Linked DNA regions of Schizosaccharomyces pombe. The gene in region 4 interacts genetically with the main gene of each other region. Each region holds a gene or a part of one and is shown on either strand. Other genes may lie near its edges. The genes, in order: git3, rhb1, sak1 and cgs2.

Region 1 (6,319 bases), 270 kb from region 4:
GCAAACTCACAATACCCCATTATTGCTGCTACGCCGCTGAACTCTCAGACACAGGCTTCGTGGGTTGCTCAACCGGAGAACCAAGCATACGCAAATTTGATTCCATCACCCCCAACGACTTCACAAATCCTACCAACAGAACTTACTGAAGAGGAAAAGCAATTACGCTCCAAGGTATTATTCTATCTAAAACAAGACAGCTTCATCCAATTATGTCAAAGTTTGGAACGGGTATGGAACAAGATGTAGGAAGACAGACCAATTCAACTTAATCCCAAATTTAAAAAAGTAGTAAAAATGGAACGAAATCAGGATCGGAATGGTTATTTCGACAAAATTGATGTGTGACCACAATTTGGCAACCAAATGAGAAACTTCATTAAGTTCACATTCTTCGAGTACCGTGATAAAACATTTGTTGCAAATTTTGACATTATTTAACGAAAAGTTGGTCGAGATCTCAACTGCATATGATCGTTGCTGAGGATTAGCAAACAGAAACCGCCAACACAACAATGTTGAAATAAATTTCTCTACTTGTTGCATGACTCTTTTCCCTTAGGCTTGTCCATGCAGAGCATTAAAATCAAATTGAGAAGATCCCGTTCCGATCCTTGGGGTGTAAGCCTCCACCACGACACATAATCGGTATCAAAAGACAACTCTGAAAACTTTTTGATGGGGGAATTGCCGCAAGTACAGCATGAATACTAGTGTTAATAATGGGTCAGGTTACAACGGTTAAAATTGAGTTGGTGGTTGGTTTTGATAATTGACTTAACAATCCACGAGAGGAGTTCATGACATTAAGTACGAAAATGGTCAAATAGTTAGTTTAACTTCAAAAATAGACGAACCAAGTGGAGAAAGTAAATGTTCCGAGCACCAAAAAAAAAACATGATATTTTTTAAAGGGATGAAACAGCTAGAACGTTATGAGTGTAAAAAGGATTTTTTTTTTTTTTTTGGGTACTTCCGAGAGAGACAACAGTCTACAAAGCTTCACAATGATTTCAATGTCCGTGAAGTAAACCTTAAAATGTCGAATCGACTTTGAAGGGTTGCATGCGAATTATCAAATAATGTTTAAAAGTGTTGTCAATGGAAAATGAATCCCGTTTCCCATTTCACTTAATCTAGCTTATCTGCCTAATCGGCACTTAAGGTAGATGGAAACCAGAGAATATTCTTTTTTCCTCAAAACAAAAACGCCCCCGCTAGTAAACCTAAAGACAATACCGACTAACGATATTGTGATTTTCACTTGGTGGAATTGGCGGAAATGTTTTCAAAGATATGAAGGCATAACCGGATCAAACGGTTTCGACAATGCTAATAGAATTCTCTTCACGTGGACGAACCGGTTTCCAAGGAGAATAAAGACATAATAATAAAATTTAACACTCCTTGTTTTATTTCGACAATATTTATTGGTCTGGTCCGAATTGTTCATTTTGGTAACTACAACATTACTCCCTATTTTTAAGCACGTTTTCATTACCCCTAATTGAAACTTGATTCTATCAACTTTCAATTTACCGGGGCTCGTTTTATTATTCTATTCTCACCATCATTCGATTTTCGCTTCATTTCTGTTGAGGGACTGCTTCCTAGATTGGTGTTTAACGCTTATCGCAACGCATGGAGTTGCATTTCATCCATTTTCTTTTGAAAATAAAGTGTGACCTCTTCTTGTGCCTAATATTGACTTGACTTTAAACACTGTAAAAATAAACGCTGTTTTTTAAAACCATCAATAACTTTAAATCATCGGTTCCTTTTTTTCTTTTATAACGAGGACTTTCTCATTAACGCACTCTGAAATGATTCTTTTCACCCTGATTTTTTTTATGCGATTGTATTTGCTCCTCACGATATACTATACTAATCACTATCGTACTTAAAAAATAGGCCGATCGTCCGAACCTCGTTTGTCTGTGCAAAAACAACTCTCGTCATTCTTACACAAAAATTTCGTTTACAGCGATACTACAAATTTTTTTCATAAGTTATAATGGTTGGTGGTAGCACATCTAGGAGTGTGAAAGCATCGCCGATATTGTGTTAGTGCGACAAGGCTCATCAAGGGATTAGGGAAATTTTTTCTTCAATAGTCTTGCTAGAAAATTACTCGGAATTTGAATCGTTGTCGATATTTTTTTTTCTGAAATTACAATTGTTCATTGTCTCTGCGTAGGTGCAAATTTCTGATTTGCTCTACAGCTTGTGATCTTAAATCTACTTAGTCAATCGACTCTGTACTATTGACGCCTGGGCCCCCTCACATAATTCAATTGCGATCTTTTTTTTTATTCTTCTTCTGTGGACTTAAGGTGCGGAGACTTTGGTTTATTTGTCTCCTCTTGTGTTTCTGTCAAGCCCGTGTGCTTGCATATTTTTTCAGAAAAATCCCGCATTGGTACTTAACTACTGTACTTGCTATAACACCTTATCCATTAGTCGTTGAGGTATATTTGTGCATATTCACTACACACTCATACACAACAGCAAAGGCGGCAACTCTCCGCCATCATTACTTATAATCAAGCCAACTCCATCAGCCAACCCAAACCACGGCGCCTTCAATTGATTTGTCTTTTCCTTAATTATCGGTAAATTTCACCGATTTGATTTAGTACCGCTTTATTCACTGTACGGCGTTAATTGCAAGCCATACCGCCTCCGATTTCCCTATTCTTCAATATCCTTAAGAAGGTTCGCCACGCTATTAAGAGCCTTGCAAAACGTGCATAAGTGGCTTTGAGCTCTAAGTGACTTCACTAGTGCTTTCTTTATAAGCACAATACATCGTTGGTTGTTCACGTCAATTGCGCTTTTCTTCTTGCCAAGAGTGTCGAGACGGGACTGCGCTTTATTAATAATCGTCGGCACCGTTTTGCGTCCGGCTTTCCTGGTTGCATTCGTTTATCACTTTTGAGCTGCTTCGTCGGCCACGATTAAAGGAAAAAGCAGTAGATTTACTATTTCAACTTTTACCTTTAACAGTTTAATCGTGTGTCTACAACTTTCGAAAGAATAGTTGAGTTAATTGAAAAGTAAAGACGAGAAGCTTGTTTTTGGAAAAAAGAAAACAGAAACAAAAATAAAAGTACGGGAATTCAAATTCATATTCGAAACAAACTCGTTTAGTTTAGAGAGCTCCTTCTATATTGCCAGTTTGCTAAGTTTTTTACATCAACTTGAAGAGACTGTTTATATTCGCGAACGAAGCAATTTATAGAAAATCGAGGGTCAGATATGCAATCTTGGGTAATTGGATATACGAGATATACTATTTTTTGCACTTCTTAAGGGTAATAGGACTGATTACCCAAGTGGCTGAAAATTCTGTTTTGCTTTCTTGTTTGTCTATTTGAACATTTCTGAAGTCATAGATTTGTCTTTGGAGTATTCCTTTTTTTTTTGTCTTTTTTTTTGTTTTTCGTTCTGATATTGCTTTTCTTGTTTTTTACTTTCTCACCTCCTCTCCTCTCTTTTTTTTTCCTGTCTTCTTGAAGAGAAGTTTAAACTTTGTAATAAGGAACAAGGTTGCTCATGCTTCATTTAGATTATACGTTTAATGTTTCCGATGCCACGAGTACGAGTTCCATCATCATTGTCTCTCGCAGAGAGTTAGCTAACCTGAGAATCATGGTCATTATAGCTTCAGCCATATCTATCGTTTTCAGCTTAATTGCTATCTTCTGGCGATGGTCTCGTCGGCGAACAATACGTGAACAATTTCATATCGCTCTTTTTTCTGTATTGTTTATTCGTTCCATTGTGCAAATGATTCATCCATGTCTAGCATTAAGCGATCCTTTTTTTTGGGCTCCAAAACATCGATGCTTTACAATTGGATTTTTTCTTTTGGTACTTGTTCGGATGACTGATTATTGGATTTTTATCAACATATTGCATAATGCTCTTTTGGTGCTTTTCCCCCATGTTGATACTGAACGAAGGGGTCTATATCGTTTTCGGCATACTGTGTTTACACTGTCATTTGTAATTCCTTTAACTATTGGCGGACTTGCTTTTACCAATAAAAGAAATACATTTGTCAATTTACAAACCCGATGCTACCTTCCCTATACCCCTGTACGATTCATGTTTGGTTTGAATTGGTCATTTGATTATGCGCTAAGTATTGCAATTATTGCTTTACAAACTTGCATGTTCATCTCGATCAGAAGGAAAATCAAACGTTTCAAGAAATACTCACATCAACAAACAAATGTGTTTGATACTTTAAATGTCATTGATTCGTATCCTACCGCTCCGGATCAAGTAGCTCTTCCACCATTTCCCGACACCAACAGTACTTTAACATATACTCCATCTAATTCTCAATCCATTTACTCCTCGCAGTCTCAACCTTCTCCCTATTCGAGACCGTTACTATCCTCTGTGCATCCTAATTTGCCTCCTGGTTCGCAGTCTACTCCTGCTAATCTAAATCAATCAGGAATACATTTCGAACAGGATTTTAGGGATAGTCCAAATCGCACAAATGGCCTTGAAGATCACACGAGTTTTAAACTCAGTAGTCCATTGACTAGTGACGAAGATGGTGCTTCTAGTGTTTTGGCTGCATATGGAAATGATATGCAAGATGATCCCCTCCTTAAACAACGGAAACGCATTTTAAGTCAGTCTAAGTTTTTGTTTGCTTATCCTGCAATTTTTATCTTTATGTGGATTCTCCCTCAAATACAGATTATCGTTATACTTGCCCAACCGTTGCACTGCTCTGGTTCATGCAAACGATTCGCATTTGTTGCAGTCTTTGCAGACAACTTCGTTGCCATCTTTATTGCCTTGTCAGATTTTATTTGGATTTGTTATCGTGGCTACACGTATTTGAAGGAAAGAGATTCGAGTAAAAGTTATTGGGATCAAATAAAGGAGTTGACTTTAAAATGGTGGCGGGGTAAATTTGGTGAGGAAAAATAGAAGGATTTGTTCTTTTTATTTTTGTTTATGGTGAAGTCTCACAAGCTCCTCTTCTTGTATTATAATTTCTTTTTATGACGATTTTATTATCACTTTACTTCTTAAAATTTTCTCATAGCCTTTGCATTCATATGTCTTCCTTTTTTGTTAAAGCCATCCAGTGAATGACAATGGAATGTGAATGGAAACAACTGTGGTAAACCAACTAATATTTTAATATCTCCCATTTTTGCATCACCTCTAATATATGTCATACTTTAATTTTCGCTTCCCAGAATTTATTTCGAAGTATTAAATTTTGGCACTACTTAACTTGGCAAAAGGCTCGGATTGGAAGATGGTTTAAAGCTTGGCTGCTTCAAATTGATAAGGCCGCTCACAATTATCGATGTATATATATGTACTGTGTCTATGACAGTTTTCTATTCATCTCGGGGAATTCATTTTTGGAACGCTTAGTCGCCTAAACAATTCTTCCTTATATAGAATGTTTATGTTCAGCTTTACCAACTATCATTCACTCGTTTTCATTTTTCAGATGCTCTTACATTTTACTGCTTGCATTAAGCATCTGTCTTCAAAACTATATTCAAAATTTATGTCCCCAATACTATATTTCCTCAATACATAAAATGGATGGATTGTGCATAGCAATACGTTTATGTTCTTATTTTGTATATGTCGATGTGCGAATAGTCATTCACCATTAGCTATTCTTTTGTTGTGGATAAATCGCTTTTCTTCCTATACGATTTGTAAAATTGCGTCGGACATTTGTTCCATGCCTTCTTGTTACATATGAATGTGTTAATGTTTACAAATTTAATAATGTATTTTTTAGTTTTTCTTTACATTTGGTAAAGCAGAATGGTAGCACAGTATCTGATTGCTTTAAGCGTTTTAAGTCAATTGAGCATCCCGTGATTAGTAGGTTTTTGTATTGAAAACTATACGGTTATAGAGAAAAAAAGTAGATGTAAGATGGTTTTCTAAATAAAACAGTTAATTTTATTACATTGTAGTATATAAGCACGCTTGCTTGATTTTATTCTTTTCGGTACACCACCGCGAAACGCGACTCGTAACTTGTACTAAACACACCACTGAAAAGTAGACTACTCGTGGAATCAGCTGTAACTTTATATTCAATTATTTAAAAATCACTCTCTAAAAGATCGCAGATATATTTTTAAGTGGTTGATTTGCTTTTTCATCGCTCTTTAATTCACCCTAACAAACTTTCATAATTTGAGATAATACGTGCTCATGGCTTATGATGCTTTTGGCAAGCCGGGCTATGGTCCCGACTTCAATAGCGCTTTTTCTCCAGGAATGGGAGGAGGCGCTGGATTTAATGAATATG
Region 2 (3,226 bases), on a different chromosome or scaffold from region 4:
AGGGTCGTTAGTAATCCTGATTTGAGTTTACCGTCTTCACCGGTAAAACAAATTTTAAGAAATGGACTTCAGAATTCAAAGTACGGTTCTCATAAGACAGGACTGGAAAGGTCCGCGAGCTGTAGTAGTATTGATGCTTCCGCAAACCATTCTTCCACTACCTATCGGGAACAAAGATCGTATTTGATGGAGGAAGGATTAGATACTCAGCCAATTGTACCCCGTGAAGTATCCTCTGGTCGAGAATTGGATTCAACCAACCATACTATTGGTACAGAACGTGCTTTTTTGATAGAGGAAGACGTATCAGAAGATGATGAAATTCAAATGAAAAGTATACATGAACTTCGCTTTGCTGGAGAGCAGCAAAGGATCGTTGATGAAATTGAATACTTAGTGGACGGAGTGACTTTCTCAGGTAACTCTTCTGCTTCTCGCTATTTGAGTTTAATAGGAATCGCTGAAAAAATGTTTGACAATTCATTTCGTTTATGCTTAAAGTCGATACGGGATGTCTTCTTGCGAATATTTGAAGAAATTGATCCTAAAGATACTTTACACACTTTTTTGCAGATTTATATATTTGCAACTATGGCTAATGAAATGGATTGCATGAGTTCCTTGCTTGATGCTTACTCAAACAATGTTAAACTTCTTTTGCAAACGGCTATTACTTTAGAACCGCAGGTACCGGTTTCAATTTTGGCAAAAAGCTTACCAAAAAGTGTAAAGGGAGCCGTTCAAGAATTCGTTATAAAGGCAGAGCTTACTTTTAGTTTTAGCAATGAGTCTCTTGCTTCTTCTGATTCTATCAGTCTTGCAGCTATCGCTCTTATGAAGACGTCCTCGGGAGTTTTTGCGGAAAGCGAGTTGTTTACCGAATTAATCAATCTTTTAATAGAAAAATCCTACCCCATCTTGAAGGAAAACGATGGAAGCAATAACTTCTTACTTCATGCACTTTGTAGTTCTTTAGAAAAATTTACGGATTTCCAGGGATCAGAAAAGATTCAGAAGGTTTCACAGATCTTATCCTCAAAGTTACAAATTTTAATTGATGAACACAATGAAACAAATTCACCAAAAATTGACGATACAGTTGTCCATGCATGCAGTGAAAAATTGTTGCGTACTTTGATTCAAACAGTTAATTCTAACAGTGATCATGCGTTAGCGGTTTCTAAATCAGAAGTCCCATTGTTTGCTTATAAAATTTTACAAAAGTTTTCTAATTTTTCGTCCGATGATGAAACTACACGAGAACTAATTATCTTAATCCTTGGTCTTTTACTAGGGCTAGTTGAGGAATCTCATGAGTTTATTCAAACTATCACTCATGTTGAAGGTAAGTTCCTTTTATTAATATTTTTACTAATTCTATTTAGTTTCTTTCGGAGCTTCAGCACTCGATGTCCTCATTTCGTTTTATCAAAAGAACGTAAGTTGTACTACTTCTGTTGTAAGACATTTCTAACAAATGTAGGAAAGTATCGTAGAAATTAGTGGATATGTCGTAATGATTTTAAGCCATTGCTTTTTAAATGATCCCAAAGCGTTTGCCCAACTCAAGCCTTTGATATCTCAGTTTTACGAATCTCTACATAAATTTAAAAATTTTCATTTGAAATTGAAAGAGGAATTAATGATGATGGGTTCTAATGGACTAGCCATTGTTTCTATAATTGATGAACTACATAAATCGTTGCAAGACTACTTGCGCAGTGACTTGGTAAAATGACCTTTGCGGCGCGCTGGGAACGTGACATCCACAACATCGTTGCTTTCACTCACTTTTTTTTACGATCACTCTATAGTTAATAATTTGCCTTTTTAAATATTATAATCTTGAAATTTTCTAATTTAAACAATGGCTCCTATTAAATCTCGTAGAATTGCTGTTCTTGGCAGTCGTTCTGTTGGAAAGTCCAGGTAAGCGTTTGATTGAAGTTTATGCGCAAATAGGTTTACTAACCATTTTTTTTAAATAGTTTAACGGTGCAATATGTTGAAAACCATTTCGTTGAATCGTATTATCCAACTATTGAAAATACATTCAGCAAGAACATCAAGTATAAGGGTCAAGAATTTGCTACTGAAATTATCGATACGGCTGGTCAAGATGAATACAGTATCTTAAATTCTAAGCATTCCATTGGAATCCATGGCTATGTACTCGTTTACAGCATTACTAGCAAATCTTCTTTTGAGATGGTTAAAATAGTTCGTGACAAGATATTGAATCACACTGTATGTCAAATTATTAGAATTTTTAAATTTTTTACTAACCTACTTGCTATTAAGGGTACTGAGTGGGTCCCCATTGTGGTTGTTGGCAATAAGAGCGACTTGCATATGCAGCGTGCTGTTACCGCTGAAGAGGGAAAAGCATTGGCCAATGAATGGAAATGTGCATGGACAGAAGCTTCAGCTCGCCATAACGAAAATGTTGCTCGAGCATTCGAGCTAATTATCAGCGAAATTGAAAAACAAGCAAATCCTTCCCCTCCTGGTGATGGAAAGGGTTGTGTTATCGCCTAAGCTTCTGCTTGAATTTATCATATTATGGATTAATTTATTTTAACTGAATTAACGATTTTATCTTTGCTAATGCAAGATATGGGCTTACATTACATGAGGTGATACTTTGCACACAAACGTGTTTTTTTACACATGGGTTTACAAGATTTCGACTCTTTATTTCAAATATACAAGTACCTAAACTATGGTTTTAAAATTTAGTCAATGTAATACATAGTGGAGAAAGTACAGCCAGACATTGTAGACGTAATTTGTTGAGTTAGCTCTTCGGAAGTTTTAAACTAACCAAATTAATTTTTAGACATAGTATTGTTTATTAACATCTATACAAAACTATTTTGAATATTTCCCAAAATCGACCTTTTACCACTTTTCTTCATGAATCACTTAAGCTTCAGCTTTCCGCAATCGAAAGTGAAGGATATCCGTTTTACCTGGGACAATAACATCAGATTCGCCGACGTTTCCATTTACACCCACAATAGACATTGCTTCTCCACCCAATACCATTTGAGATACCTGTCCAGCAGTCGTTCCTTGCTTCACTAAGATGCAATCTCTGAAAACACCTTCATTAGGAGAGTTTGCAAAATTGTGAACGTTTTTAACGGGAAAAACTGGAATCAAATTTAAAAGTTCCATTGCCTTTGCTAAAACATTACAAACTCCAGTTGAACCGTGTCGAAAT
Region 3 (4,852 bases), on a different chromosome or scaffold from region 4:
AAGACGATCGTACTTCAAGAAAAAATATCTAGAATTACAAAAATCGAAAATGAGTGGACGGAAGGGGCAATATAAAAAACTTCAGCAGCGCCGAAAACCTTCTTACTTGAAATAGTGGTTGATGTTTCCATTTTCCGTTGTTTAAGTTATTTTGTCGTTTTTTTAATTTAATATATGGTCTTTAAGGGGAATATTTAAACATTTTATTTGAAGTCTTGTTTTTTAAACACGAAGTTTCTCGTAGAAAGTTCGCTTTTAGTATGATGCTGTTTTTTTGGGGGTTCGCTATTCTTGTTGAATGATATCGATGCCAATTTCCTCATTTGTATGGGCTTAATATTCTTGTTACTGCCAGAGAAATGCAATAATTACACTCAATAGTTTAAATAGGTTTTATAAAATAGTTATCGGAGAACATTTATATTAATCAATACATATGTGATAGTCGATATCAAAATTAAAGACAAAAATGTTGAAACTCTATTTACTGACAGTGAAATTTTAAAAGAAATAAAAAACAAATATAAAGTATAGTCACTTTCAATTTGGTATATGTATGGACGTTCACCCATAAGAAACAAGCGCCAGGATTATAGTAATCTAATTGCATTTCAAAAGTTCACAGACTTAAACAAATAGACCTCCTGAACAAAAGAAACATATATTAAAAAACAAAAACAATAATATGAATGATATTAACTTTTGTCAGTGTAATTACGCTTGCTTTTTCGAAGCCCTAAAAAGGGTCAACTATATTGTACATCAACTACAAGCACCATTTGTATCAAATACAATGGATATATAGTCGTCTTCCTTTTGCTTCTGAGCATTCTGGTAGGCAGCTTCCATCAAGGAATTTTTAGTGGCTTGTTGTTGTTGTTGTGATTGCAAAGCTTCGATGTCTTGTTGGAAGTGTTGCTGGGATTGACGGTGCTCCTGTAAATGAGGAGGGATATTACTCTGAGATATTCCAGCTTTATTATGAAAGTTAGCATGATGCTGTTCCAGCTCATCATAACTATCATCGAGGTATCCGCCAATCTCTGCCACCCAAGTCATGTATTCATCGACCCAACATCTAATTACCCAAAGAGCCCCAAATGCTTCACCTCCACTGACCGTGATTTCACGAAGCACACTAGTTTGTAAAGCGCCTAGGCATAGAAGAAACATTCTAGGAGAGCAGGAGGGAAATCTGGAAGGCAACTCCAGAAAAAAATCTGCCATACGATCTAAAACACCATCAATTTGTCGAAGTTCGACCCTGTTCATTGATGTATCACTGGCTTCATGTTTGTCCTTCAAAGGGTCTAAAAGCTCAGAAGGATTTGAACAGGTTGAAAGGATAGAATACCACTCATCCAACGCGGCTACTGCTTCTTTGTCATTGCACATTAATTCTCTATGTACAATAAATCTTGTACTGACAAATCGTTCCCAGTCGTTACAAATTAAATGCCTGTCGGCAGGGTTGGCAAGGAACCTAGCAGCAGCATGAGCCGTATCGTTGACACGCAAAAGACGAGACAATAAGTTACTAAAGATTGCGGCAGTCTCAGATTTGACTTGGAGAAGACAAGATGAATGAGAAGCGTATATGCTGGATATGTGATTAACGAGATTCTCAGCTAAATGACGCAGTAGCACCAAGACTGGCGGAGGTACCACTTGAAGAGTCATAGGGAATAGCAACTTCAGTATTTCCCTGTACATAACGGTATCAGAACGCTCAATCCATTTCGTGAAATAAGGAGAGGACAGCAAAGCTAAAAGAGAAGGAGAGAGGGAATTGGGAAAGTTAGAGATCTCGGACAGAAATTGCTTGAGATGCATATACCGGACTGATTCAATTAGAGTAATGCAATGCGAAGAATAAATGTTCATTAATGCAGATTTCGCCTCGACATTATCGTATGGACCATTTAAATAATAGTCAATAGGAGGTAAGGAAAATGAAGACACGTCTAATGATGGGATCCAAGGAAGCTTATGAGGAGGCAAGAATTTAAGTTTAAGTTTGAAGAATAGGGAATGTTGAAGATTAAAATCTTCTTGTGCAGAAGCAGGATGCAAGGTAGGTACTATCGAAGAAGTACCGGGTACAAACGAAGAAGAAAACTGAGGCATGGGTTGAGAAAAATAGGTCGGTTGGGACACAGAACGGGGTGGTGCAGGTGAAGGTACCGAAGAATGAGAAAGTTGTGGCGGAACATTGGATTGTGAAAGATGTGAAGGTAGGGGATGGGCTTGTGGAGCAGCAAAAGAAGGAGCCAATTGCAAATTGGTTTGACTTCCTAGCAAAGGTATAGAAGGAGGAGGCGAATTGTAAGGATCTGATGAAGGGGTGACAGCGGATTTTCTAACTATAGCCGCAGCATTAACCGATGCAGGGCTGCTTTCTACACGCTGATTTGTGTTTTGAATAGAAGAAACATCGTTTTCAAAATGATTGGGAATAGGTTTGGGAAACGAAGAACAGGAAACGGGGGAAAGACTTGAATCTGAAAAGGTACGTAGTCTGCGAAAAGAGTCTTGACCACGCAGTTTAATACCACAATAATGGTATTTTGAGTGGCCACGCATGCCTAAACGTCGGGTTTTGATGGAAGGAAAGAGCAAACGAACCAGTTTTCCAAACGAAGCGGAATTTAGAGGTTTGATATGCAAAGAGTTACAGATTTCGACGTAATGAGCGTATATTTGATTTCGTTGGACAGCAGCATCTTGTTGTTCTTCACAAGCACGCTTTAACCAACATATGCCAAAAACCTGGCGAAATTTTTCCGAATTGGCACTTACGTGGTCCATTCGCAGCTTTTCCGCTAGCGACTCTAAAGAGTAATGTTCATGTTCCAACGCAAGTCTTTTTAGTTCTGTCTCTTGCTCTAAATCACTTCCTCGTGGATGTGCAGATTCGGAGGTTATGGAGGGGCGATTCAAAAAATTCTCCTCCTGGGGAAGCATAAAATGAGTATCAAAGCGTTGAACCGGGTCCAATTGATCTTGGACATTCATATCTGATCTAGACAGAGGTATTTGACCTGGTAAATCAGATGGATTCATAATCCTGTGCCTGACAGAACGTTTATCGGAAGTGCAAAAATTTACCACAAAAAATTATCTACTTGCCAACATCCAACCGGTACTATACAAACCTTTTTTAAGATACCAAAAATTAAAAAGCACCCTCTATACGTCGTAACTATTAAATCCTCAGAAAATATTTGAGGGGCAAATTGACCAGCCTTGGCTAGTCGGAAATGCTCAAGTGTGGTGAAGACAAGAAGATGCTTATGGGCAAAGAAAGCGCCAACTCCTCGAGGTCGTAAAAAAAATGTTTCCACCGTCGATCACTATCGCTTGTTAAGCGCAAGGATTTTAAACTTCGGTGTTTAAAAGACAAGGATAATCACGGCACTGCAGTGGGGCGCTTGATTACATTCTTAATTCTTCGCTAGCTTAATTTTACATCAAATTGCTTTTCTTTCCACCTCCTTCGGGCTTGTTAATTGTTATTTACGATATCAATCCATGATCCTATTCGTCGTTGCGAAGTCTTGAACCATTGAAACGTTAAATGAAATAGTGAATTTCATTGCACCTAAACCAAAGCAGTCGCTTGCATGCTTACACACACCAATCATAAGGAGGTGAAGAATGAATGCAAATAGCCGAAGTAAAGTCCATACAAGCTTCTTCTGTTTAATTTCTTTTTTCTTTTTTCTGCGGATTTAAAAGACTTTTATCTTTTCAAAAGAATCTTCATTTTCACGATAGCGTTTTTAAAACGACGAACTAACAATGACTTGTTTTTCTACCAAAATAGTAGCGGGTATTGCGGAAAACCCGTATTTTCGAGCTTTTTGAAAATCATTGTCTACTGCTAAAACATCACTAACACAAGTAGAATATTGCTGAAATCATGACTATTTAGTCAAAAAATTTCCTTTTTCTTCTTAGGAGTGGTAGAGGGAGGAAAGTAAAAATCAACGAGAAACTTTGCAGCGCTTATTTACCGCAAAGTGGGGATGGCGAGTCAATATGGAATAAATTAATGGAAAAAAAAAGAATGGCATGACCTGCGCATTCTTGTATGTTTTTTTAGTCGATCTATCGTACACAAAAAGCATCCAAAATTTTTTTACATTAAATTTCTACACCAACTTAAATATCATTTACAAAGTTTTTATACTTTAAAAAACATGTTTGTTTATACAAATTTACTTGCTCTCTTCAAGTTTTACGAACTTCTGGACACTTGTAACAAATTCGTTAAAAAATAAAAAAAAAATAACCTCACGCTTAAACGAGCTATTTTCGGTAGATTTTTAACGGCTTAAAGTTCATTCAATGACTCGCTCCATGTAAACTATCCTTCTTTTATGAAGAATTCAAATACCCACCATTGTAGGATTTTCTCCATACTTTCTAACAATATCACTTTCCGCCTTTAATCTTTTTTTTCCTCCCATAGTTTGGGTTTCTTATCCCATTTTTTGTTATAGGCATCTTCTCAGTTTCTGAGGTATTGCAACGCTTTAATTGTATGGTTATGAACTTTAGCTACTTGATTTTACCAAAAAAATAATCCCGTTTTGATACCATTTATCAACTATCTTTGGTAGAGAAGAAAAGTTTCTATCCTGTTGTCTTATCTGCGTGTCATTGAACATTCCTCCTATATTTTGCTTGTTTTCATTCTGACCTAGTCATAAGTGTAGCATTCGTTTCTACGGCCTTGTTCCTTTTTGAAAAAATTGTCTGCGAGCTGTAATCAGTTGGATTATAACACAGCTGTTTTTTTTTATTTTCATTACATTTATTCTTTATCTTTATTTATTTGTTCACTTTA
Region 4 (4,784 bases):
CATCAAGAAATGGAGACTCGCTCCTGCGGTTGGAAGCTTGGCTCCTCCTCCGTCGTATTCTACATCGCAGCCAACTATTAGTTGGGATGCAGCTAGTGAGTCTTCAGCGGGTACAACAACGCAGGGCGATACAAATAGACCCGACAAATCGAAAAATAGGTCACCTCCAATAAATTTTGATGGTACCTCGTATGATGCGGCTGGTAATGTTTTCAGTCCATCATCATCCAACAATCAAGCTTATCAAATGCACTCCATGCCTGCTACCGATGAAGTATAAGGAGTAATGTATAGCTTAGCACTAACAACCTTCACGCCAAAACCAAAGATCAAGTTGTGGAAATGTTTGTGCGTTGTGTTTCAAGTTAGTCCTAAAATCGAGAAATGCACTTTGTATATGAATTGAAGGGGATGTGTTGATGTTCAATGTATTTATTTTCTTTATAATAATTTCTTCAAAATTAGTTATAATTATTAATCTTAATTAAATTTACTCTATGTTTATTCGCTCAATTAATAAAAGGTTATTCACAATTTATTATGATTTTTCGTATAATGTTGCTATTGAGTCTATACTGTTAACATCAACCTTCATCGAATTCCGCTGGTGAGAAGTTTTAACGGAGGAATTCATAGGGTTGTCAATCCTGATAATGAAAGTGTAAAAGGAAATTTTCGAAAGCGCTTTTTTACATTTCTAATTTTGCGTAGTGTCATAAAATGCAATTCCTGGTAAAAACAAAGCCGCTTAATTATTAGTCTTGTTATCTTTTGCTGTAATAAAAGGAAATCTACCTTTTTATTCCAAAGGAACAAATAAAGCAATTCGATACTGCAGTGTGACATTCTTTGTGAGTAAAAAAAAAAGGGAGTAAAACAGAGAACGTATTCAAGTAATATTCTGAGAATTGTTTCTATTTCAAACTTTTATAGCAAGTTTCCAATATGCCTTTAGGTATAGACTTAATTGAAAAAAGACCGATCATTATCAAAGGGAAAATTGGGATATATTGCTAATTAAAATATCTACCTAAAGGCTGCTATGCACCTATGATGATTTCTCTCCATAGACCAACAAAAAGTTCAATGGAAAGCAATTTCAGCGGCACATACAAAAGATTCTTCAAATAGGTAATTTAGGAATGTTTCTTTTGATTATCTTGCATAAAGGAAAAGGAGATCATATTTTGAAAGCTCTTACAACGATTACCACCCTCCCTAACTGATGCAAACTGGTTCTCAGCAGCACTGACTGGAACTATCTAAGTACTCTATGAAAAAGTAAGAGTTAGTTTAGCATAATCAGATAAAATGACTGGGACTTACGAATCCTCAAAGTCCGATAAAGAACCAAGTTCATACGGAAATCTATATTACACGAGGTTCAGTTTTTTGTATGTATAATGAATTATTATTTTAAAAAACATATTAGTGTCCGATAGTTTACAATTGTTTGCTAGTCGGTCTCTTAAAGAGAAGGGCATAAACTTCTGCCGACATTGTTAAACAAGCAACAAAACTTCCCCTCAGAAATGTTAAACGATAAAAAAAGGAAACCTCTGGAATTATATAAAAAATAGCTCTCTCTCTTCTCGTTACGTGACATTCTTTAAGGGTGTATATTGAACCTTCGGAAAAATTGCTCTCATAAGGAAGTGATACATGTCAAACGTGTTTCATCAAAGTCGCATTTTTTTTCTTAATATCTTACTTAAAGCAGCAAAGCATAACTTCGTTCCTCTCCACTTAACGACTTCCATCCTTTTATTTATTCATAGCATACTTCTTCACCAAGCGGGCACATGAATAAGGATAATTAACACACTACACTATACCCCGAGTTTCTCCACATTTCGAGCATCGTTTATCGTACCCTAAATCTACGGTAGTAAATGTATGCTTGTAATAAATATGACGTCAACCGACATGTTTTTGTAGACTAGTGCATGCACCGGAGATCTGTAACTCTCCATAAGCCTAGCCATGCATGCAGCACTCGAAATCAAAGAAGCTGAATTTCAAACCGATCAAGTAGTAGGACTCGTAGAAAATTCTTTTACATTATATTCATTGGTATGAAAAACGAAAAATATTTTTTTTTTTGAAGAATTTCGACTAACGTTAACGAAAACAGGGACAAAATGTAAGAATTCAAACATTATGCATTGAGAGCCATGCTGACTTATTAGGGGGGTCCATTGGAGTCTTGCTGTAGCAGTCATTTGATTTCTGATGGCGCATTTCAAGAAATTATATCGCTGGATGGTGGAAGCCACCTATCGGCGTTGGTTGAGTTGATCCAGTCAAAACACCTGTCCGTCGATTCTTGGTCTTCCATCACCAAGTATGACAATTATACGGTGGAAAATGAATCATACGCAAAAGCCTGGCACCTTTCAGAGCAAAGGATTAAAACGTTTCTCATCACACACTGTCATTTAGACCACATCTATGGAGCCGTCATCAATAGCGCCATGTTTGGTCCTCAAAATCCTAGAACCATAGTTGGGTTAAACTATGTGATCGATACCCTAAAAAAGCACGTGTTTAATAACTTATTATGGCCTTCCCTCGACAAAGCCGGATTTATTAATTTTCAGGTGTAAGTAAATTCTTTCTCAATAGCTTCTGTCAAATGAAAATTTTTTCATTGTTTTAGTGAATAGGTTGAGGGTTGGGAAGGCAATGTTGAGTTTTGAAAATTTTTTATTTTCTTCATCTTAGTTGAAGAGATGTATGCTCGTCTTTTTTTCCTTCAAATCTATTTGCTGAACACACATTTATATATTTTGCATATATGTAAACTATCTGCTGACGCTTTGGTTGATTTGCATGGTTTCATGGTACTTGTGCAATTTTTTTTGTGAGACAGTGATATTATTTGAAAGATTGCAAAGATTGCAATAATAATTATATCTCTTTTTCTTTCACTGTTCTAATATCTTTTGTTCTTGTTCAAACAAGTTAATGAATTTAACTCTTATGCGAATTTGCTAAATCAACCCCATCGGCATTTCTCTTTCTCATTTGACAATGAGACTAACCTCTTTTTAGGGTTGAGCCTTCCATGTATACTAGTTTAACGACTACTTTGTCTATATTGCCCTTTCCCGTTAATCATGGCTCCTCTTTCGGTCAAGAGCTAAAGTCGTCTGCATTTTTATTTAGGAATAACCTATCCGACAGATACTTTTTGGCTTTCGGGGACGTCGAACCCGATATGGTAGCCTCAGAACCGCTTAACATTCATATTTGGAGAGCTTGCTCTAGTTTAATTGCTCAAAGAAAGCTTTCTCATATTCTTATCGAATGCTCCACTCCTGACATCCCTGATACTCTTTTGTTTGGTCATTTTTGCCCTAGACATCTAGTGAACGAGCTTTGTATACTCCAATCTCTGGTCCAGAGTTATGGCGTTATCATGCCTACCCTTACGTGTTTGCTCACTCATTTGAAATCACATCCTCTTCAGTCGGCGAATCCTGCCGATGTTATATTGGAGCAGTTAGAGTCGTTGTCTTCCAAAAGTTCTCTTTCAGTCACATTTAAAATCCTTCAGCGTGGTCAATTTTATAAATTTTAATAGCATCCCAGGGTCATGGTCATATATTCATTATATTTTTATTTTTTTTTTTTAATTTCTTTTAGGTTTCTCCATTTATTCGTTACGCCCTTTTATCCTTCCGCCGTTGCCGCATGTCTTTCTATTATTGAGAATTCTGTTGGAGGAATTTTGACTTTGTTGTTAATTATTGAATGCTAAAGCAATTAATTATTACCTTTTTTTATTTTTCATTACCAGTTCATCGTACCTCGCTTTGCTGGTTTACTCTCATTAGAATTTCACGCTTTTCTCATCGGACACTTTATTTTCAAAAATAGAATGCTTTTTCTTTGTTTGCCAATCTGCTTTACTTTTTAAATAGATTTCTAATTTGGTTTTTTGTTGTTGTTGACGAGGTTTATAGAACGATGGGTTAAAAGTCTTAACCAGATTATATACTTGAATAAATGGGTTATATTATATGACGATTTCTCTGTTCTAATATTGTTTACCTAGAAACAAGAGGAAGCATTCCTAAAGGGTAGCGGGTATATTAGTTGAGTGATGAATCAATATAGGTTTGCTCTGCTTTTTTCGATTGGATAGACTAGGAAGTATTCTGGAGGGTATGAAAGGAACAAAGTGTTCTATTACAGTTGGTAATGGTCGACTCTTGATTACGATGTTTAATTTGGGATAGAAAAATGATTATTATTTCTAGTTATCGCATATGATCGTAGGAAAAGCACATTACAAAGGGGAAACGAACCAAAACGGATGCAATGATCATAAAGGGCGCTGGAATAGTAAATTAATATAACAAGCTAGTATTCTTCTTCTTTCCAAGTTGCATTCCTTTCGCTTTGGGAGCAGAAGAAGCCTTTGCTGCAGCGTGATAAGACTCCATGGCAGATTCGTCTTCAACATTAGACGTAGCAAAGGTTGTATTAACTGTTTGATACCCAATGGATTCATACGCATCTGCACTGGGAAGATTCTGAGCCGCCCGTCTTGCAGCTTCTTTCTTTTGTAATTCAAGTTGTTTGATGCGGCGCTTCCTTTCTTCAGTTGCTTCAATTTCTTTGTTCTAGAAAGTGCATTAGTAAAACCATACAAAAAAAATTTCGATGACTCCACCCCTATGCTTCAACACGTACTCTTGATACAATTTCTTGAATTTTCTCTTCGTGACTCTCCATTTCCAAATAAGTTTTGATCTGTGTCAAAGATACATTGTCTC

Evidence for each region.
Region 1: of cgs2 (region 4) and git3, a mutation in one rescues a mutant of the other (synthetic rescue), as found in Schizosaccharomyces pombe (one study listed by BioGRID).
Region 2: of cgs2 (region 4) and rhb1, extra expression of one rescues a mutant of the other (dosage rescue), as found in Schizosaccharomyces pombe (one study listed by BioGRID).
Region 3: of cgs2 (region 4) and sak1, changing one suppresses a phenotype caused by changing the other (phenotypic suppression), as found in Schizosaccharomyces pombe (one study listed by BioGRID).

The regions. Positions count from the first base shown.
Region 1 is NC_003421.2:1,541,818-1,548,136, reverse strand, and holds git3 (G-protein-coupled receptor Git3), read left to right. Parts: upstream 1-2,041; 5' UTR 2,042-3,555; coding exon 3,556-4,956; 3' UTR 4,957-5,804; downstream 5,805-6,319. Other genes in the region: meiotic recombination protein Rec7, read left to right, coding at 1-249; single-stranded DNA-binding protein Ssb2, read left to right, coding at 6,223-6,319. UniProt on the Schizosaccharomyces pombe protein: G protein-coupled receptor (GPCR) that senses glucose and signals via the heterotrimeric G protein alpha subunit gpa2 to activate adenylate cyclase and PKA signaling, and suppress sexual development and gluconeogenesis.
Region 2 is NC_003423.3:473,139-476,364, reverse strand, and holds rhb1 (Rheb GTPase Rhb1), read left to right. Parts: upstream 1-1,867; coding exon 1,868-1,929; exon of another isoform or gene 1,930-1,988; coding exon 1,989-2,247; intron 2,248-2,301; coding exon 2,302-2,538; 3' UTR 2,539-2,695; downstream 2,696-3,226. Other genes in the region: wpl1 (WAPL family protein), read left to right, coding at 1-1,345, 1,386-1,438, 1,484-1,738; SPOM_SPBC428.15 (Obg-like ATPase), read right to left, coding at 2,926-3,226. UniProt on the Schizosaccharomyces pombe protein: Binds GTP and exhibits intrinsic GTPase activity. Regulates entry into stationary phase when extracellular nitrogen levels are adequate for growth.
Region 3 is NC_003424.3:3,146,445-3,151,296, forward strand, and holds sak1 (DNA-binding transcription factor Sak1), read right to left. Parts: upstream 3,276-4,852; 5' UTR 3,064-3,275; coding exon 763-3,063; 3' UTR 504-762; downstream 1-503. Other genes in the region: rRNA processing protein Fcf2, read left to right, coding at 1-115. UniProt on the Schizosaccharomyces pombe protein: Positively regulates cyclic AMP-dependent protein kinase-mediated exit from the mitotic cell cycle.
Region 4 is NC_003421.2:1,809,831-1,814,614, reverse strand, and holds cgs2 (dual-specifity cAMP/cGMP phosphodiesterase Cgs2), read left to right. Parts: upstream 1-1,971; 5' UTR 1,972-1,983; coding exon 1,984-2,073; exon of another isoform or gene 2,074-2,134; coding exon 2,135-2,143; exon of another isoform or gene 2,144-2,189; coding exon 2,190-2,602; exon of another isoform or gene 2,603-3,054; coding exon 3,055-3,583; 3' UTR 3,584-4,278; downstream 4,279-4,784. Other genes in the region: SPRY domain membrane protein, specificity factor required for ubiquitination Ear1, read left to right, coding at 1-280; coatomer delta subunit Ret2, read right to left, coding at 4,356-4,631, 4,702-4,784.